4 linked regions of the Drosophila melanogaster genome follow. The protein of the gene in region 3 interacts with the protein of the main gene of each other region in a pairwise test. Each region holds a gene or a part of one and is shown on either strand. Other genes may lie near its edges.

Evidence for each region.
Region 1: the proteins of Tsp42Ek (region 3) and zf30C interact in a two-hybrid assay, tested with the Drosophila melanogaster proteins (one large-scale study listed by BioGRID).
Region 2: the proteins of Tsp42Ek (region 3) and CG10321 interact in a two-hybrid assay, tested with the Drosophila melanogaster proteins (one large-scale study listed by BioGRID).
Region 4: the proteins of Tsp42Ek (region 3) and CG12576 interact in a two-hybrid assay, tested with the Drosophila melanogaster proteins (one large-scale study listed by BioGRID).

Annotation. Positions count from the first base shown.
Region 1 is NT_033779.5:9,756,469-9,762,932, reverse strand, and holds zf30C (zinc finger protein 30C), read right to left. Parts: upstream 4,592-6,464; 5' UTR 4,184-4,591; coding exon 4,180-4,183; intron 3,254-4,179; coding exon 2,880-3,253; intron 2,813-2,879; coding exon 1,434-2,812; intron 1,369-1,433; coding exon 792-1,368; 3' UTR 558-791; downstream 1-557. Other genes in the region: Taf11 (TBP-associated factor 11), read left to right, coding at 1-27, 90-411.
Region 2 is NT_033778.4:21,632,777-21,638,926, forward strand, and holds CG10321 (uncharacterized protein), read left to right. Parts: upstream 1-1,902; 5' UTR 1,903-2,205; intron 2,206-2,604; 5' UTR 2,605-2,627; coding exon 2,628-5,135; coding exon of another isoform or gene 5,136-5,195; 3' UTR 5,196-5,623; downstream 5,624-6,150. Other genes in the region: CG15674 (uncharacterized protein), read left to right, coding at 189-533, 591-1,394.
Region 3 is NT_033778.4:7,040,853-7,045,302, reverse strand, and holds Tsp42Ek (tetraspanin 42Ek), read right to left. Parts: upstream 2,631-4,450; 5' UTR 2,272-2,630; coding exon 2,212-2,271; intron 1,586-2,211; coding exon 1,427-1,585; intron 1,358-1,426; coding exon 1,196-1,357; intron 1,095-1,195; coding exon 900-1,094; intron 844-899; coding exon 772-843; 3' UTR 593-771; downstream 1-592. Other genes in the region: Tsp42Ej (tetraspanin 42Ej), read right to left, coding at 2,631-2,723, 3,156-3,518, 3,573-3,734.
Region 4 is NC_004354.4:22,479,358-22,484,385, forward strand, and holds the start of CG12576 (uncharacterized protein), read right to left. Parts: upstream 3,001-5,028; 5' UTR 2,748-3,000; exon of another isoform or gene 2,725-2,747; intron 2,671-2,724; exon of another isoform or gene 2,558-2,670; intron 1,542-2,557; 5' UTR 1,238-1,541; coding exon 1,155-1,237; intron 1-1,154. Other genes in the region: Cp110 (centriolar coiled coil protein 110kDa), read left to right, coding at 3,380-3,393, 3,485-3,665, 3,730-5,028.

The sequences.
Region 1 (6,464 bases), on a different chromosome or scaffold from region 3:
GGAGGAGGAGGAGCGCGAACGAATGCAGTAAGTTAGCTTAAAGCGATTCGAAGGGGTAATCCTATAAAAACTATTTTATTCCACTCCAGGGTTCTCGTTTCCAACTTTACGGAAGAACAGCTGGATCGCTACGAAATGTATCGTCGCTCTGCCTTTCCCAAGGCCGCCGTCAAGCGTCTAATGCAAACTATCACCGGCTGTTCCGTGTCCCAGAATGTTGTGATAGCCATGTCCGGCATTGCGAAGGTCTTCGTCGGCGAGGTTGTGGAGGAAGCCCTCGACGTGATGGAGGCCCAAGGTGAATCCGGTGCCCTGCAGCCCAAATTCATACGAGAGGCAGTGCGACGACTGAGGACCAAGGATCGGATGCCCATAGGCAGATACCAGCAGCCCTATTTCAGACTGAACTAGCGAGTCGAGACATTAAGAAATATAGTTTGTAAGGCTGTTAGTCAATATAAAAATACATAAACAAGTAAAAAGTAAATAAATATAAAGATTTTTTTAACAAATCCCATATAATTAATTTTCTCTATTACGAATAAATTCCGAAACGTGTTTTTATAAGGAAATTTATTTTTCTTAAATGTTTTTGACAGGTCCGTATGGCGTTAAACCTTCATCTACATCAATTTTATGTAGCTTATTTACGTTCAATGTTATTTAATTAATCCAGTCATTAAGTAGATATTATTATGTAGTTGTCATCCCATTTGTTGTACAGTAGAATACGCATCCGTTTACAAAAGAATCTTTATTGAGTGGGATCGCTAAATGAATGTGTTCCGAAGTTACTCCATTCGCCGGGCCTCGGCTTGCATGGTCTGCAGTACGATGTGTGGCACCAGGTGTGTGGAGGCGTAGTTCAGGGGCACCGTGGCCAATGGCGCTGAGCCGTCAGATGGGAAGTTGAGCTCCTGTGCCATGGGCATGTCCCTGTCGATGACATCCTGGGCGATCAAGGTCTTGGTCTCCTCGTACTCCATGCCCGCCTCCGGCTTAGCGCCCATCAAGAGTTTTCCGCGCTGCACGCCCATGTACTGGGTGGCCTTGGCATTCAAAGGCAACTGGCCGCAGGTATCGGCATGCACCTTGCGATGTGCCTGCAAGTTGGAGATGCAAGTGAAGCGCTTGCCGCAGTTATTGCACAGGAAACGCTTAATGCCCGTGTGCACGGTCATGTGGGTGAGCAGACTCTCCCTGTACGGATACTCCTTGGGACACAGGTGGCACTTGTACGGCTTGTAGTCCGTGTGGCGCGTCTTCAAGTGCGACTTGTATTGCGCCTTCACCTTGAATGTTTTGCCGCACTTATCGCACTGGTACGGAGTGTCTGCCTTGTGAAGGAGCATGTGCGTCTTGAGAATACTGCGGAAAGGAAGATGCGTTACTAACAGTCTTAGAATAAACATTCAAACACAAATAGTTATTACCCAGCGGTGGACAAATGTTTGCCGCAAACGCTGCAGCCGTAGAGCGGTAGACGGCCGCAGTCAGAACGAACGTGGTCAGAGAGCGATGTGCGTCCGGTGAACTTCTTGCCGCACTTGTCGCAGATGAGGTTGCGCTGCTGGCTGCGCGGCTCCTTCTTCGAGTGGAAATTGCGTTCGTGGTTCTTGAGGCTGTCGTGTCCGGTCATGTACTTGTCGCATTTTTCGCAGTAGAGCAGTTCCTTGTGCTGGGCCCTAGCATGCTCAGTGGCCTGTTCCTTGGTGGCGAAGAAGAGGTTGCAGTAGCATGGGCACTTGAAAGTCAGCTTGCCATCTTCGCCATGCACCTTCATGTGGGTGACCAAGCGCTTCTCCACCAAATAGATCTTGCTGCATATGGGACACTTAAAGACTTCCTCGTCCAGCTTAGCATGGACGTCCACGTCCTTAAAGATCTCTTTCATTTCCGCCTCATTTAACTTGTGGTCGTCGCGCAAATGCTTTTCGTAGGGCTTGCGGATGTGGTAGATTTTTACGCAGTGAGGACACTTCCAGGATTTTTCCATCTTGTTGATCATCTTAAGGCGCTCCTTTAGCTCCTTTTTGCTGATCTTAGCTACGCGTTTTGGTGTACCCGATGAATCGTCAGGCGAGGGCGATCTAGGTGCGTTTCGTTTGCGATACTTTCTCTTGACCACAGGTATCTTTTCCTTTGGCGGTCTGCCCCGCTTTCTTGGTCCGGGAGGTTTTTCCATTTGATGACCCCTCAGTTCTAAGACATCTTCTTCCGCAACCTCCACTAGCGGCACGGCCGCGATTTCGTCTAGTATACCAGCGCCCTGTTCCACCTTTAGGCTCTCAAAGGGCTTTAAGCCATCACCCTCATTGAGCAGCACATCCAGCAGCTTATCCTTTTCGTTGCTAAAGATATCGGTGCTTTCGGTCTTCACATACATGCTGGCGTCCTGGTACTCGAAATCTTCTTCGTCGAAGGCCTCCACCTTGACCATAGCCGGCGGAGGAAGCTGGAATCCGGATGCATCCGCATCGTCCTCACTGTTGTTGGGTTCGAAGTCGGGACACTCGTCGCCCGAGTCCGAGTTCTGGCTCTCCTGCTTGAGCTTCGTCTTCAGACGACTGGCCAGAGGAATGTCATCATCGCTATCTTCCGATTCTTCGCTGGTGGTATCTTCATCATCAGAGTCCCTGTTTCTGTCCTTCTTGCGGAAGGCCTTATGTTTCTTCATCCCATCGGATGAACCGGGCGAATCGTATTCCGGCTGTCCACAGGTGTCGGGACGACTGCGTCGATGCTTGGATAGGTTAGAGGCGCTAGAGAAGCGGGTGTAGCAGCACTTGCACTCCATTGGTCGGGATTCCTCCTAAGGAAGAGAAAGTAATTATTATTAATATATTTACAAACGGTTCCACTGTTTCGGTTCTACTCACCCTGGGTAGCTTTTCCTCGCCACACTTGGTCCTGCAGTGGCGACGGTATGCCTCCTGGTACTTGTACTCCGCGCCGCACTTTTCACAAACGAAAGGCTTTCGCTCCTGTCCAGCTACCGCGCCAGTGACTCCGTGCTCATCCTTTGCATGCTGGGTGAGCTCCTCCTCGTGGCAAAACCGAGCATCGCAGTGACGGCACTCGAAGCCGCCCGGCGGCTGGTGCTTCTTTACGTGCTTCACATATCCGGCTAGGGAGACCAGCGCCTTGTTGCACACCGGGCAGTGCAGCTTGGGTATTCCGTCGGTGGTGATCTCCACCAGGAGCTTGGTGGCTGCAGCCGCCGCACTGCTGCTTGGAGCCATCGACTCGGTTTCTGCGAGTGGGGAATTGAGATTATAGCATGTTGGGGCGAACGTAAACAAATGCAAATTTGATTTTCGGTTGGTTTGGGTTTGTATGCGCCTACCAGGGCTGGGTCTTTCAGTTCTGTCTTAAATGCACTTGTCGCAATATTATTGTATTTATATTTATCATAGGGTTTAGTAAAGAAGCTGCATTGTGCACAATAATAATAACTATGTAAATCAAATTAGATCTAGTGACTTCCGTTTTTTCTATTTTTTCGTTTTAAGCAAACTATCAAATTTTATTATTATTCTTTTGGTTACTTTAATTTTTATAAGCAGCTTCTTTCTGATAAATTATTAATTGACATGACATTTGTAATTTTCAAGTTTATAAATTAATTTAGGATATTCATTATTATGTTAATAATGGTTTCAATTTATATTATTTTCAATTTCTATTTGATTCAAAAAAATAATAAAAGCTGTTTTCCAATGGTCATAACATATTTTAGTGCCATAAAATGAATGTATTCATAAGTCTCCTTTCGAACCAACTATCGGCAACGAGCCCTTTGTTCGATATTCAATTCGTTCTTGCAACCCACCACCACTACCACCGACACCTCCAACAACAACAATAACACCGACGACGGCAGCCGATTAGCGACGCTGTGCTGCAGCCCTGGTGGCGTTGCGTTCGCCGAGTCGATGGGCAAGTGACGGGGGAGGCGGGGCAGGTAGGCAGGACAGCGACTTGAAGTGCGCGCATCACGCACAAATGCTCCTAGTTGGCCTGCATCGGCTGTACCCCAAAACGGGGCTCCACCTTAACCCCCCGATATCGTGCGATTCACGACTACATATCTACATGCACCACCTACATACAACACACACCATGTACACCATATACACCGTATAGACCGTATAGACCGTATAGACCGTATACACCTACCCATATCGGTTCGGTATCGGAGTGGTGCTTCCTTGGACTTGGATTGTGGGCCCTTTTCTGCTCCTGCTCTCTCCTCTCCACACCGCTCCACGACGACTCTCCGAGATTCTCAGACACCGCTGAGGGGTCAGACAAATACAAATGTCTCGCTAATGATGGCTTCGCCTGATTCCGATTTCGAGTTGTTCGATTTGGGCTTTGGGTGCTGCGGAACACTTGGTTTTGCGCCGAATGCAGCTCGCCGCATTTTCACTCACACTATTATTCGGCTATTATTGTTTGTTGTGGTCGGGCCGAGCACTGCGAAAAATATTAACAACTCTTAAGTACACTTTAAAAAATGAAAAAACGCCAATGAGCTGCTGGCGAGTAAATTATTTTTCTTTGTGCAGCTCGAGGGTGGCAATGCAGCCCTGGTCGCAGCGCTCATTTGAGCGTCGGAACTGGTTCGCCCCCAGCATTGCCACGAACCAGTTCGGTACGGCTCTTCTCGTTTATTTTGGATTCTCAGCGTTTAAAGTCGTGGCGCAATTTCCCCTCCACGGTTTGAAAATTTTGAAAAATAAATTTTAAGTTCCCTTAGCATAACTAATTGTTAATGAAAATACAGCTGTAAAATAATGCAGAAAGGAACCGACCAATCTTTGAGCTTGTTATACTACTTACTCGCCGATTAGATACACAAATTTTGTTCACTGCACAGCGAGAGAGCCGCAATCCAGGGTTGCATTGCCCGATTCTCGGCGGGCGATTTTAAATTCAAATTTAGCAAATACTTCTTGTAATGCCATGGATTGTTTTAATAAATCAGTCTTTAAAACTATATTTTAAATTTTATTTATTTTCTTTTCTAAGCCATTGACGTCGTAGATGATAATAATACGTTAATTAATTCACTATTCTTTAACTGTTATCTATTTTTCTTATAAGTTAATAAATAAACCATAAACAAAGTGTTAATACTAACTATTAATCCAAAAAAGGTTTAAAGTCTTTAATGTTTACCAAACATTTTTCTCTTTTTTAAACCAATAAATTTAAAACGAACACGTTTACAAAAAACTTGAAAACCTCGTCTTGGTGTTCTAATTGGAATTGGAATTTTTGCCGTGTTGAACTCTGACCGTGCCCAATTTAGACCTTTGCCAGCCGTGTGCTATTGATACCCAAATCCTCCAGCCCAAATACCCGATTGTACCATCTAAGTGCTCGAAGGCCATCGAGTACTCTATTTTGATTTGGGGGCGATTACATTCCGGAAATTTACACTCATGCAGTTTATTGGGCTCGAAGCTGATTACAATTCTGTGCCGGCAATTTAACCCAGCCCACGAGTAAGCAAAGGTGACGTCAATGTCGGTGTTAGCCCGACTTGATGTGCGAGTGTGTGTGTGTGAGATATGTGTTGTTTATTTGCATGCATATGGGGGGGCAAACAAATGCAGAAGGTCAATGCTGAGAGAGTAGCTTTAAGAAGATGCACAATTTGATAAACAGCATATAAAACAATAAACTATATAGCATGGTGTATATTTTGATTCTCTAAAGGAGATGGTGAATATGATGTGGCTGAAATTGTGCCAGCAAAGTCAACACACAAATTGCACACCAACAACTTAATCAATTCTGCCACTGGTCCTGCAAGTCCTGCCATCCTCGCCGCTTATTTTGTTTGTTTATTATGCAAATTTGCATTAATTTTTCGTATGCCGCACACGTGATCCTGCAGCAGGAGCAGCAACAACAGCGGAGTGTGTGCTTGCGTGTGTGTTGCAGTTGCAACTGTTGCTGCCTCCGTTTTTGGGCTTCAAAATTGCTTTCGAGCGCAAATCGTCGGCAAATTTCATTAAAAATGCATACATATATACACACATTGTTGTGTGGGGAAGGCCCCCTATTCTCCTTCCCCTGCCCTTTGACCCCTGCCAATGTCTCTCTCAGTTCGCCAGCCATGTCCTCCCTTGAGATTAGTCAGCAGCAAGGACATTTCGGAATCTTTTGTTTTATAAATAGCCCCCTTTGATAGACAATTAAAAATGTAACTTGCTTTCGGCAAGAACAAGTCTATCAATAGGTGGGATTACATACGTGCATGTCGAGAAACGGCGGAAGCTCCCCTTTAAGCTGACCCAATACTTTTCCCCTCCAGGTGGTGGGATTTCTCTTTACTTCCTTACCTCATCTGCCACTGCCACGTAAGTTAGCCTTAAGAAAAGTTTTCATCCTCACATGTCTAAGCACTTTGTGCAAATTGTTAACGTTGCTGATGCGTCCTTCTACGCACA
Region 2 (6,150 bases), about 15 Mb from region 3:
CAATGCCAGCCAATAAATTATTCGAGTGGCTGATATTCCAAATTGAATTAGCTTGACGATAAAGTGACAAAGTGTCCATCGCAGCTGAAGAAGATAATGCCGGCGGACCTGAGATAAGCCGAAGACGGTGGTTATATACGAACAAGGTGTTTGTTTCAGTCTTTTACTTTTATCTCTTCATTTTCCAGGCAAACCTCGTGGACACCCTGTGCGCAGATCATGGCTCCACCACAATCAGGCGAGATAACCATCACTTTTTTAGGCTGCGCAACGGAGAACTGACTGGAAGGGGAGTTCAGACGGAGGTGTGCGCCAACGGAGGTGATTCGGTCCTGGCCTGGATTCCCTACCACACCGTGCTCAAGAACTATGCGGCCGAGCTGAATCCCAAGGAGCGACTGACATACATTGCCAAGGCCACGAACGTGGAGCGGGAGAAGACAGAGCTCTGTCACTTCCGACACACGGATCTTGTCAATGCGGTGTCCGACAATCTGTTCACCTGTGTGGTCATGATTTTTGGCGATAACTTTGTAAGTTCCTCGGGAAGATGGTTCGGTTGATGTCCTACAAATATGTTATCTTTATAGTATGGTCTTGAGGATAACATTAACGTACTGGTGGAACTGGAACCTTTGGCATACCAGCTGAGGAACATTACTTACCTGCCGTGGCGCAATGTGACTAACAGCTACAAGATGCACCTGGGTGACAGTGTGCTCCGAAATCCCAGTGGCGAACGTAAGCCCATTTACGGTAGCCTGAACTACGATTTTGTGGAGAAGATCCTTGTGAACATGTCCAGTGTGTACCAGCATAGGAAGCTATCCAGGCTGCCTCTGCTCTTCGAGCACCGGTCCTCTGTTCTCGAGTTGGACTTGTATGGTATGGGTGGCCTGGATGTTGCGGAAAAAGCCTATTTCGGACGAAGCATGGACCCCAGGAGCGAGGTGAAGGTGCAGGTGATTGGTCAATGGGTAGACCAGCATCGGGAGTTCGACGCCGACATATACGAGTACTATGGCCATGGGCTGAGACGCTATAAGGAAACTCTGACCGGGGCCCGGCTCACCTTCATCCGAATAGATTATACGGAGCCGGTTTTCATGGCTCCGGAGTCTAGCAACCTGGCCAAGGCCTCGCTTTTCCGAGAGCCGAAGGTTGGCCAGATAAGGGAGGATCCATCGGGCAACTATACCGAGTGGGAGAACGCACAGGAAGAGGATTACGATGAGGAAGGTCCAGGATTCTACTGCTGGTTTGTGATTACTTGTCTGCTTTTGGCCCTCGCTATTATCCTGGGCATATACATTGTAGTAAGCGCTCACAACAGGAGAACCAAGAAGCGCCACATGTACGAAGTGGCCAACACGAATGTGCCTCCACCCGCCTAAAAATTATGGACATTAAGTTAAGTTTTCTAAATCAGAAAATAACACCAGGATCAACAGGTGTTTTCAGTTCGAAATGTCAGTTTAAAAAACGAGTTGGCAGCTCAATTGCTATGTCCTCGAATTAAAATTTGTGTGTTCGTTTTTTGGGTTAGATTTATTAAAAATTTCGGCTTGAAAATGTTAATGTGAGTCAAAAAACTGTTGTGTGTTTCATTGAATATGTAAAGAAATCCCCTGGTATGAACGGCAAGGAATGGCTCTAAAATCGAGAAATTAAAGAGACTTGTGAGCTGAAGGACCCACATCAAAAACCTAAGTTGTAAATAGAGAAAAGGTAAGTTTCAATGGAATTTCATGCCTTAAACATAAGAAGTTTTAAGTATTAAAAAGAAATCTAGAAATCTGAGGAAATAAACAAAATGATTTCCGACCGGCATGCGTTAGGGATTTCTGTCTTTATACCACGTTGGCAGCGCCATTCACAACACGCCTATCATCTCACTCACACTCGCACACAGAGAAAGACAGATAGAGGCAGAAGTTCAGTTCATCAATTCATTCATCTCATGGAAGAACCTTATTGATAACGTCGCCAGAGATAGCTAGTGATTTCATTCGATCAGGGTCCCGAAAGACCCACTGGTGTGCACTTGTTTTGGTTTTGAAGTTCGCATCTCTGGGAACGTGTGTGTTTCGCCCTGAACCACAAATATGTGAGTTCCGAATGCGATTTGTGTGACGCGGCCATATTTAAAGAGTTTTTTGTGTTGAATGTGGGGCGAGCTGCGAAAATTACATAAATACAGCGCAGGTGAGTTCATTTTTGTTGCGGGAACCCGGTCGAAAGGTGCTCTAAGTGCGGGTGCAAGTGAATCGAAAACAATATTTACCCAATTCAAGTCGGGAATTATGTATTTGTTTCGTTTTTTGGGCCTAAAAATCGCATTTTTCGCTCACACCAACACCAAGATGGTAAATTGTGTATAACAATATGGCTGTCTCTGTCTGGCACAAGAGCTACCAGACGTGTCGACAGTCCCTGTTATTAACAGCGGGTTAGCAGGTCATTTTACAACAGATGAAATTATTCTGAATTTTAATTGACCATTTTTTGGCGGGCAAATCATAACAAACCTCGTACTCATGCACCTTTCGGGGATCCGCTCATTCTAATGGTTATTTTAAATTAAAAAAAACTGGCCCATTGCAGCCTCCCCCTAGGAACACGAAGTGATGGATCGCAAGAAGGTCCTGGAGCTTGACAAGATCTGCCGCCTGTGCATCTCGGAGCGCAAGGAGATGCGCCCGCTGTTCAGCGAAAAGGTGCCCGAAATGCTGATGGACTGTACCAGCGTGCGGGTGGAGCCCACGGAGGGCTGGCCGGACAAGATCTGCGTGCAGTGCGTCCACGCCGTAAGCCGGAATCACGCCTTCAAGACGCTCGTCGAGCGCAGCGACAAGGAGCTGCGCGAGTATATCCGCGGTCTTACCGTGGCACTGGTAATGGAGGAGCAGCAGCAGCAGGAGGCGGCAAACGCTAAGCAGCAGCTTCAGCTGGAGCGGAAGCAACAGCGACAGCTGCAGAAGCAACAGAAAATCCTCGAGGAGCAACTCCAGCAGCAGATAGTCCAGCAGCAACAGCATCAGCCTCCTGCCAAACCAAAACTGAAGCCGCTGCTCCGCAAGGGCTCCCGCCAGCAGAAGCAGAGGCATTTGGAGGCCGCACCAGCACCACAGTCAGTCCCGCAGCCCGCCCCTCAGCCACAGATGCAATTAATGCAGGAACATGCGCCGCAACAGCCCACTATGCAGCAGCAGATCCAGCAGATTCATATGCCCACACTTCAGCCTGCTCCCGCCCAGCTACTGTCCGCTGCCGGTGCCACCACGACTATGCCGCAGCAGATCCTGTTGCCCAACGGCCAATTGATAACGACTGCTCAGATTGTAGCGCCGCAGTTGGCGCAGATCATCAGCACAGCGCCGCAGTCAACGACTAATGGTCAGGCCACCGCTGCGCAATCGCAATTCCTGCCACAGCTTCTACAGACGCCGAACGGACAGACGTTGCAGATTGTTCAGCAGCCCAATGGCACGCAGACCCTGCAGCTGGTTCAACTTGTGCCGCAACGCAGTTTGGCTCCGACCGGAGTCACGACAGTGACCACAACTACCAACGCCACGGATATGGGTCAGCATGTAGGCGCTTCTCTCGGTGATGCCGACGTGCAGTTGCTGGAGGACGGCTGTGAGGTGGAAGACGAGGAACTGGAAGATGTGTACGAGCAACTGGATAGCAAGGCAGATCACAGCTTTGAGACTATTGTACTGGACGACGATCAGCAGCAGGACTTCCTAAAGGACCACCACGAGCACCACCAAGTAATGATCAACGAGGATCTCACGCAGAGTGAAAGCCAAGACCATGAGTACTTCGACGATTTGGACCAACAGCAAGCAATGGACGAGATAGAAGACGAGGAGGAGCAAATGAAGCCCGAAGAGGACCAGGATACGTTCATAATCGAGGAGATTCAGCTGGAGGATGACGAGATGCTCGATGATCCGGATGGGGAGGAAATCGACCAGGATTGTGAGTACATCGGTGAGGAACAGGATCCGCATTTGTCCGGCGACGTAGACGACGATCTGGAGTATTCCATTATGGAGCCGCCGGATGGCGAGACAAGTGTGGACATTGACCAGGCATTCATGGATTCTGAGCAGTCGCATCATCAGCAGCACCAAGAAGAGATGCAGAGCATATCACTGGAGAACGCTGTTGTAGAGTTCAGCCAGGCCACAACTACAACGGAAGCCCTGGTGGGTCCCACTATGACCGTCAGCTCGGCCAGTCCGACGCCAAAGCGAGCCAAGCGAAGTAACCACCAAATTCCAGCCGGTGTGACTCTGGAACCCTGCGACCACCAACCACCTGCCGCTGGATCAACGACCAGCAGCAAGCTGGCCGCAGCCAACTCTCGCCAGTTGGTGCAGACGGCCAGCGTGATTGCAGCCGCCGGTGCGGACGACAACTACGAAATAGATGCTAATCTGGTAACTGAGTTCATACGACAGCACACCTCGCCTCTGGGATCTGGGAGATACATTTGTCACCTGTGCAGCACCGAGTTCCGGCAGTTCAAGGGCCTGCAGAACCACATGCACTCCCACACCAACTGGATACGGGCCAATTGCAAGAAACAGCCGCAGTGCCAGATCTGCCTAAAGAGCTTTAAGGGCCCAGGAATGCTGCGGATGCACATGAAGACGCACGACGCTGAATCCAGCACACCGATGTGCACCATTTGCAATCGAACCTTCAAGTCCAAGGCGATCTTGTACAGGCACAGACAGACGCACCAGCAGAGAGCGTATTGCTGCGGCGTGGCCAACTGCCGAAAGAACTTCTCGTCCGCGGTGAACCTCAAGTGGCACGTAGAACGCAAGCATCCGGAGGTTGTGGATCCGCTGTTCAAGTGCGGCGAGTGCGGATCTTTGTACGACAACGTGGACTCACTGCAGCTGCATGTGGAGAGCACGGATCACAGTGCAGAGGTGCAGATCAGTGGCCAGGACGATGCTTTCAGCGGGGCGGTAAGCATCGTCAGCAACGGCACCACCGACATGTCGAACATGATGGCAACCGGCCAGGGTACGACTTTGGCCGGCGGCACGGGCGATACCCACGCCGTGGTCATGGGCTCATCCGGCGAGGTGTACTTCGTGACGCAGGCGTAGCCAGCGGAGTTTGCCGCAGCGGGCGCTCCTGGAAACGGCGAGTGCCTGCTCGGCATTTAGATGACCACTTAGATGTAATATATATACATATATATATATATATTTTTGTACTACCCCCGTCTAGATAACAATTTAGGAATAAGCACAACTACACAAATATTGCAATCCTAGATTTCTGTCGTAGAACTTGTTTAGTAGGACCTAAGCGATTCACTCGAATTTTGTAAGCAGATACGAAACTTTAGGTAGGCAGATCGAGGCGGATCCTCACATCCAAACGCTTGGGGCATAAATCCTGCGTGGACTGTGCCAGTTTTTGTTTTTAATTTTATTACCCTACTATTATTATTTTGTTTTCCCGGGGAATACAGACTGGCATTTTAGGCTAAACGTATTTTGGCGTTGGGTTTTCATTGTTGGGCTTTGAAATAAGTGAATTTGTTTTAACTGAACAACAAAATAAATTAACAAACCTTCTATGAAACCATAATTTGTCTTTCTTGTACGTCCCATCTGGCCGGTAATATTTATTTTTAAGCGTGTAATCCAATTCGCTGGCTTTGTTGGCTTGTTGTTCAATTGCATTGACAGAAGACCGGGAAAAAACAGAACCCAAACAAAATTGATCGAAAGAAAACAACAATCAAGCCAAGGTCTTGTCTATTGATTCCCAATTGCCACGTGTCGCGTTCATCCGGTTATGGGAAGTATCTGGATAACTACGATTCGCGTATGGATGCTTATGTAAATCTGTAAATGCCTATTAGTGTGATTTAGGTACATGTACATACATATATATTATATTATCCATAAAAAGTGACCCCCCAATAATCGGTTATCTGATCGCAGTCTGAAATCTCCGGCTGTCACAAGAAATTGTTAATTAATTAGCAAATAAGCCGCGAAAATAATCAATTGGAATAACATTGTGACAGCTAAAATCGCCAGGCGTTTATTTGTTTTGTTCAGATTATATATGGCGGTCAGCCGCGTTTCGCAAGATAAGATAAAGGTT
Region 3 (4,450 bases):
TATTAAAATGAGAGGTTACAAAATATATCACTATCTTGTTATATTGATTTGTCAATTAATATACTTCGAGTGACTAAAATCCATTTAGCCGAATTCGCCTGCACTCGCAGTAGGCAAATCAAGAAAGTTAAAGGTGGCGGTGGCACTCTAGTGCGGCTCCCGCCATTCGGAAGCCAAACAGAAACTGAGGCGGGAAAGTTCGAAGCGTGGAGCTGGTTATGCTTGACAGAACTGAAGCGAAATCTATATGTCTCCGTTTGCCAGATGTTTAGCCGCGGTGTGTGTCTTATCGAGAGCGGAGTTGGGTCTAATCGACCACCGCCTCTCAAAGCAATTTACCAACGATCGAATTAATGCCGGTAAGATTGATTCAGCTCGATTGCGTCAGACACTCGGCACTGAATGACGCCATCAACATCACCGGATGAGCTCAGTTTCCGATGCGGAGTGCAGGATCCTGACTTCCACTATCAAAATAGAAACCCTAAATGCATTGCTCACTTTGTGTGAATCTTAAAAGTATAGGAGCTATATACCGAAAGACAGCTGAACTGACCCTGTTAGGCAAATACATAGTTACAAATACAAAGTTACTAGTTTAAAAATCACAATTTTAATCAGTTCGGATTGAACCCTTTGTATAATCGGAAGTATTCGTTTCATCGGGATACGCTTTTATTTCTCCTGGGAGCATCAAAAACTTTATACAAGATTACTGTAAAGGAATATTGGCGCCCTAATAATATATTCAGAATTCTACGAAAGTATTCCTTAGTAGGTGTAGCGAACGCGCTGCTTCCTGAATCTTCCGACCAAGTAAAAGGCGGCAATCATCATTAGAATCTGTAAAAACTCTGTAAGATTAGTCCCTCCATGTGTAGTTCACACATTTCACTCACGGTTATTCCCAGTGCTATCCAGTTGGTATCGTGGGCGTAGCTGAAGAGCACCACAAAGTTCTCACTGGACTTTTGGACGCAACCAGCTAGATAGTGGGGCATCTGGGGGTCCTCCTGGGGATAGCAGCTGGGCGGCAAGGTTTGACGACCGATGGCCACGTAGTCGTCGGGGCTATCACGCCCACAACACTCGTACTGTTAAGATAATTCATAAAAATGATAAACGATAATGCCAGCATATTAAATATATTCGATTAAAAGTGCATGATGCGAATGATCTTCGCCAGAATACGAACCACTGTCTGGTAAATGTCCATGGCGCCGGGTTCCACCAGCTCCTCGTCCCATTTCATCTGAACCTCCTCGGCGGCGAACTTCTCTATGTATTCCTCAGTGAACTTGAAGCGGAAGATGCCTAGCAAGCTGATTATTAGCTGAGCCAACAGCAAGAAGCCGTACTGTTGACATACAACACACAACATAGAGTGAGTGAATTACCAAACGGATGACATAGCGTTTCCACTCACCGTTGCGGTCATGCACACGTTCTCCATGCAGATTCCACAGCATCCCAGTACAGCCGAAACGAAGATAATGCCACCGAGTCCATATAGAAACAGAATGTAGGCGATAGGGGCTTTCGAGAGGGCCAACGTTGCAATGGCTATCAGGGATAGACCCGAAAGCTACAGAGGGAGCATAGGGTCAATTCAGATTAGCATTTGGCAATGATATCGGGTGGTAATGTCAATGACTCCAATGGAGCTTGAGGTATTTTCAAAATATTATCAAATGCCGCGGTGAAGAAACTAGATTTTCCCGTTTATCTGGGCACTGGAATCTCTGTTATTTGATTTGGTGTTTCACAATAACGTTCGCTCTCTTAGTGCTAAATAATGAGTTATTTTTAAAAGGATATGGATAAAACAAGTTTTTGGCAGTTAAAAATCTTGTTTTCTTCCATAATCTTCCATAAATTGTAAATATGGTACAAATCGCAGCATATGGTAAAGTCGTAAAGCATTTCTAGATCAAACAAATTGAATTTGGAATGTGTTGGGGCTAATCATTAAAGTGCGGCAAATGTTTCTCATACATATCTGACAAGCAAATTACGTTTACTGGCCAAACAAATTTTCGATTCCATGAAAACGGAATGCGTACTTGCTTGTCGATTTGCAGAAAAATGTATTCATTTAAATTCCTGTGGGAACACAGATGGCTAATTTACATTTGTAATACATTCTTATAGCACAGAATTACCAATTTTTATTCATATGCATGTGAATATATGCATATGTTAAGAACTCACCGCGTTCAGAGTATTAAGAGTGTTAAGGAAACACTTAACGCAACCGGAAGTGCAGCCCATCCTAGTGCTACGATTAAGCTGTTTTTGTAAAATTCCAAACTAATTCCTCTTGAATAATTAGTAATAGAGAGTAATCTTTGTTGTATGATCGAACCTGCCAGATCGGAGTTCCGATAGACAATGAATTTCAGATGCAAATATTTGCCGGCAGCACGTAAAATCCCAAAATCACGATCTGCGCTCTTCAATGTTCTTTTGTTTTTCAGATCTTCGCAGCCGAATGATGCCGAATTCAATGAGAGAGAGATATAACTGCGGGGAACTCGTTTAGGCTATGGAAAGTATTTATTTTCTAATGGCATTTTAGCTAATTTGGTTAATTTTTATTATCAATAATCATGCAGGGGTATCCTCGGCCATCAGTCGTTGATGGGGGTCTCCTCGTCCTTTATCTTGGTTTTGGCATACTTGCGAGCCTTGCCCAAATGGTAAGCGGTGAACAAGCCCAAAAACTGAAAAATACATAAATTGTAATAATATAATATTGATATGGAATCGAAATCGAATAGACAAGCGAACTTTGTTAAAAAAATATTTTACTGTCTTAACGTCCTTACTACTTTATAACTTTATAACATCAAGCAAAAGCTCAACAACTGTGTACATAAATAGTAACGATCGCACCTTTGACATATTTAGTTTAAAGAAAACTTTAGTAACAAAAATGGTTTGAATGAAAAAACACACATCTTATCTTGGCAGGGATTTCTATTTAAGCGTGACGAATAAAAAAGTAGTTAAAATGTGTTCACTGAGTCAGTTGTGTGCGTTAATTCAAAAGTTATTGGATAACTCTTCCATAAGCGACGTGCCGAAACATACCCTTGTGCTCAAGTACCCTTGTGGCAAGTGAATTTTACCCTGCGTATGGTTTAATGTCTCACCTCGAGGGCAATGATCGCCATGCAGCTGTAGTAGTTGAGCTCCGCCTGCATTCTCAGAGTAGCTACCGCCTTGGTGGAGCATCCCTCCTCGTAGACGTGCGCCGGCTTGGAGCAGTCGAAGGCGTAGCAGCAGCTGCTGGGCAGGGCGCCGTGCTCCTCCTGAAGGTAGTCCTGCGGTCCCTCAATGCCGCAGCAGCCGAAGAGGCTGTGCACTGGCTGCATCTTGTCGTCGCTGTGGGTCTTTCGCTCGAAGAGGTCGCGCATGCGCTCCTCGAACCTGCCCATCAGCTGCTCCCGCATCGCCGTGAAGGTGAAGAGGTAGGAGCCCAGGGCGGCTATAACCAGGCCACTGCAAATTAGGTACTGAATGCAAAGAGGTTAGTCTGTGACTTGCAGTTGTGAACGCAGTTTACTCACGTATATGGAATACTTGTACGACACCTTCAAGGCCACGTACATGCCCAGGAAGGCGACTCCGAAAACTGCTCCTCCGCAAAGTGCCGACCCATAGCTGCCGTAGACGGAGACGGCCGAACCCCAGGTGGTCACGCCACAGGAGAAGAAGAACACGTTGCACGTCTGAACGAAAGGGAAACAAAATAGTTAGTTAAGTCCTTAGTACTAAGGAAAATTATGGACTAAATTACTTCCTAATCTATTTCTTCTTGAACGAACATCTTTCTCGCAGAGTTAGAAACTAAAACTAAAAGTGTGGCCCCAATAACTTAATAAATTACTTGCCAAGGTTGTGCGTATGAACTTCAGGAACTAGCTATATGGAATGCATTATTATTTAACACCTACCGATAAGGCGTAATAGTTTTAGGGTTTATTATTTTTAATAGGTGAAAGTTACTTATTAAATCGTTGATCAGCCAGCTTCAAAGTCTAAATATACATTTTGTACTGACCTAATAATATTTTAATGCCGCGACAAGCACTTTAAATAATAAATTGCACGTGTAGTGCTGGGGTGCCAAATAAATAAATACAAGCACGATTCATTAGCGTCTACAGCGTCATTTTTTCAACTTACATTTGGCAGTCAGACATTACCAGCTATCCATCAACTAGTTTTCTAAACTATGGTAAAATGAGCATTAGGCATTTGGCATTTGTACTTGCTAAGCACCAAAATGAAAATCTATGAGACTATAGCATGCAAATGCAAGAACATTTTATGCTTTCATGCTTAATCAATCTCTGACATTTGTAAACAGTGTCCCATGTGCATAATTGTATAAGAATAAATTATATAATATAATAGTGAATTTAATTGGCGTAAGCCACCCAGA
Region 4 (5,028 bases), on a different chromosome or scaffold from region 3:
CAGTCAGCTAAAACGAAGGTGCAAGCACGTACAAAAGATCGCCGGCATACACACAGCAACCAACAGCGGAGCCTAAGTCAATAGAACTGATTTATAATCAGCGGAATTGAACGGAAATTGATACACTTTTTATCAGTTTAACAAGTGCGCAAACAAGTTATAATACTACTTTTAAAAATTGCCCAGTCTGATAAATAAACAGTAATCACGTTTAGTTTCACAAGTTGTGGATATTACAAAAAAAAAAAATGCATTTTTGTAGTTTTAATAAAAGAATAAATAAATAGGAACTAAAGAAAGGACCACAAACCACAAAATGCTAATTTCGGGCGCTTTTTAAATGTGTGCTTCACGGTCTTGGCCATAGCTGTATTTGGATGGCCATGTGCATGCACATGAGCTTCATTTCGGTGCGCTTTTACATACATACATATGTGGAACAATCTTTGTGTGCACACACATATATTCCGAAAATAAAACATTGCAACTTTCAGTTCGAAATTGGCCACGCAAAGAGGTTCTTTCTTTCTTTCCTACCTACAGCTCCACAATTTGTCTTGTGTGACCGACCATACGATTTTACACAGTATATTTTACATATTCACTTTGCTGCGCAGCTTTCTTTCAATGGGAACGAGACTGAATTGGCTGGGAAGAAATTCGGACCCGCTCGACCCAATTAAAATGTACATCATTTAGTGCGTAAATATACGCACTACGTGTCGCTATTTATTGAGATTACTGCCCTAATTAAAACCCGCCGACAATTGTTAACTTTTAACAGAAATCAGATTACAACTATGGACATTCATCCAATGTACCTGTTTCACATTTTCCAAAAACGGACGGACTCCCCGTAATGCCTACAAATTTTATTGTTTTTTATTTGTTGTCTTATTCCTCAAATTTAAACGCCGCACGTTTCAAACTTATCGATCAACGAAAATTGCCACTTTTACCAGTAATTAAGTACTAAGAACTATCTTGCCAATAAACTCTGATTGTGCCTATCTACTGAATTGAAAACTATAGTTTTAAATATGGGCTTAGAAGGGTCTTAAGATTCCCCTTTTTTTTTTGATACGAGGTCAGTTTTCTAGGAAAGCTGGATCAATTAATGGCAAAATTCTGGATGGATTGTTACTTCGACTTACCATGACATTAGGACGACTGTGACAACGGCTGCCGCTATGCAGTGGAACGTGGATCTTGACGGACGGGGCAGGACTTGGAACATTTTGTATGGGAGTAGCACCAAGATAGCACTTTGGAATCGCTTTTGTGGGTTGTGATTTCGATTTTCAGCTCCCGCGGTTGGCGGACTGATTTCCTTTCCGCTCCGCGATTTTAGGCGACTTCCGGTTCCCTTTCGCTGTCAAGTTTCGCTTGTTGTACGACACAATTACTTTACCGTTATGCCAGGTTCTGGGTCAGCTGTGCGCATGGGCAGAGTAACTGTTTTCGGTTTGCTCTCTTTGCTTTCGTCCTTCCCCTCTTTTATACCATCACTATGATTGCTCTTTGTTGAAAATCCGCGACTACTGCGTAGAAAATAAAATAACAATATTTATATGTAACTGTTGCATGAGCATTATTTCGGATACATGGCAATTTACCAAAATGTTTTTGTCATGTTTTTCTGGCTTTTGAGGCCCTGTCTCACTCACACAAGCGCACTTGTTTTCACAAACGTATACCGATTAAGAACAAAAAAAAACTCCGTAGTTCAGCATGGAAAAGGTGTCATTGGAACTGCGACTTTTCCACCAGTGATTAACCATTTAATTCGAAATACTTATTTCATCAACTTATTCCCTTGTTTTTCATAATTTATTGTCGCCGCCGTTGCTGTTGTTGTTGCTGTTTGCTGCTTGGCTTACCGGCTGTGTGCGAGTGAGACAGCAATGCAGCGTGGGAGAGGACGAAAGCAAGCATGTGGAAGAGAAACAGAGAGCGAAGCGCGTGGAAAAGTTGTAATAATAATAATAAGAACGGAGCCAAACACTAACGCCCAACTGAGCAGCAACAACAGCAACTACAGCCATACAAAACGTAAAAAACACCAAGTTGTTTGGCCTTCGATGTCTTTTTCAATTGCGTCGCAGAATGAAACACAAAAAAAAAAACAATACAGAAACACCACACTCAGCGTGTGTATGCATATGTACACATATATGTGCGAAACTTTGCGCTTTTTGTTTTTGTTTTCCTTACACTTTTACCGTATTTTTATAAAGGAAAGGGGCTAGGAATAAAGTTAGGGGTAAAAATTACTTGTATTCTACTTAAAAAACAAAGCTGATACTGTTGAAAAAAAATTGCACTCCCATCTCACGCACACACACACGACTGCATCTACAATGCAACTTTAAAGAGAGAAATCTGGAGCAATATAAACCGCAAATAGTTCATATTTGAAGTACAAACTCAGTTTTGCGGACGTTCTTTGCAAAAACGGTTTTAGATCGTTTTGTAACTAGATAACACACACACATAACATATGCAAACAGAAGTTACGAACACAACATATCGACAAGCTGTAATAGAACTCGCATACTTTTCGCTATAGCTGGTGACTTTCGAAAATATTATGTTGACTCCCGAATTCCAGGCAAATTCGATCGCGCCAGAGCAACAATCAGCGCAAAAAAACACATCCAGTGAATGTGACCGCGCGCACGGCGAAGGAAAATACCATCCGGCGCAAATCAAATACCAAAATGTACCACACCAGTTTCGATAACCACCTAGTAAACTGTTGAATTCGGCCAGCTGTTTCAAATTAGTTTGTTAAGAACCAATAAAAGTTAAGTTTTCGCAGACAATGTTTCTTTAATTTTGACAAGATTTTGAAGCATACGAAATATACAATATAAGTTCCTGAACACTAATTTAATCCACCGTTTTCTTTACTATAATTCTGGAAGGACTGAAAACTTGTTCCTCTGCTAATCTGTGGAGTCCTCAAATTTTCTCTAAAAACGCTACTTCCAAAAGTCCGGTTATCGATATCTGACGTCAGGGCTGCATGGACTTCGTGTGAGTTTTGAATTGCCGTTTGAAAATAAATGTTTTCCCCAGCATTAAAGCAGCATTTCTCATTGGCTCTTGATGGTAGCTGCGATCCACGGTAGAAACATTGAATACAAAACTCTCAACGATTCGGGATATCATTTGATTGATGTAATGAACTCTTCAGAGGTTTCCTAATTTTTGGCGGGAAGTCGAGGGCTCCCTAGTGCCATCGTCATCTCTAATGGCAACTAAAACATAGCAGACATTTAATGAACTTTCACAAAACACCTAGATTCAGCTGACCTCTGAGAAGGCTTCCTGACATTTCGACGTCCCAACAAAAATTCCCAGTAGCAAAACACCAATGGATGCGACGTGGTGAGTGGGTCTTGGGATTTTATGAATCCCGGTTGCTTACGGGCTTCTAATTACTGATTTTGCTCAATCTAATGCTTCTCCAATTAAGCAGGGCAATGGAGCAGCTGCTGTCTGCAGTTGAGATGGGAGGTAGCCACAGCGAGGCCACCACACCAACGGCCACGACCACCATATCGATCTGGAGCGCCCCCTCCGAGGGCAGTGGCTCTAGTTCCATGGACCCTGTCTCCTTTCGGTTCCACTTGGACGGGCAGCCTATACTGCCACCGCTGGTGATTTAAATTCTTGGTCAGGGAGTGGCATTTACTGAGGCGTAACCATTTTACTTTGTTCCAGATGACGAGCGCCAAGAAGCGCGAGGTGCAGCTGGCCCGCCAGATGGCAGAAGCGCTGGAGAAGCGGTACCGCCTGGCCAGACACTCGGCGGGATCCGACATGGCCAGTAGGAGAAGTGTGTCACAGCTGCAGCAGACAGAAACGTTAATCTATGACAGCACACGGGGCCAGGCTCGTCCTCAGACTCTGGTCTTTGGCAAACAGTTGCCCACCATACAGGTGGATCCTCCCACGCCTCAACCATTTGTGAAATCAATAGAAAACACTTCCCCAAGGCGGCATAATCGCATTACCGATCGTATCCTGCAGTTCGAGCAGTCGGGACTGGGTAAGCTGCTGCCCAAAGTTCCAGATAAGTGTATCCTGCGCACAAGTCCTGCGGTAGCCGAAGACCAGCAGGATCAGGATACAAAGGACACAACGGCAAGGGAGCTCGGCAGTCCACTGGCAGAACCAGCTAATTTTCAGCGTTCGAGAAGTTTCACACTAGAGGAGCCCTCCCAGGTTCTCGTGGAGCACATGGAGAGGGAGGCCCTGGCTGTGAAACCCAGCCAGAGTTTGGCCAACTTCGAGAAGCAGACCATCGAGTCTCAGGCCAAGCGGGTGAACCGTAGTGCAAGGAGTATTAGCAGCAAAATTAGCCACAACAGCTACAATAGCAACAGTAGCGCCGCAACCAAGAGCACCATCGCCACTAAAACCACAACCGCCGGCAGCAGCTGTTCTAGGCGGGATCGCGAGGTGGAGCGTATAATAGAACGGGCGCTGGACGAGCATGGCGCTTTGGAAGCCAGCCGCAAGGCAGGAGTGCGCAACTATCTGCGTGGCCATCGGGAGCGAATGAATCAATTGGTCATTCACCAGGAGAAGGAACGTCGTCGCATGCAGGCCGAGTTTGATCATCAGCAGCGTCAGCTCATAGAGGAACTGTGTGCCGAAATTGATGTTTCCTCGGCCACCGAAAATCCTGACAGTCTGATATCGCAAAGCACCAGTACGGGAGACCTGCAGCGTTTTTCCCCCTCGCCTACGTTACCCTCCTTTTCAGAGGACATAGAAGACTTTCCGACGATGGAAGACAAGTGCCAAATTGCGGGGCCTTCTTCCGCTCGCAAGAGGCTGTTTAGTCCAAAACCATCAAAGGACTCGGAACCGCAGCTGCTCAGTGCCCCCAGCACACCGCGATCGTTGCCCCTCCGGAACAGCAGCTTAACCAATAGCAGACGAAGTGTCCAAGTTGTCCGGCGCCGATCGCAATCTGTGGGCGGTAGTCTAGTAAAAACAATCACCGCAGCAGAC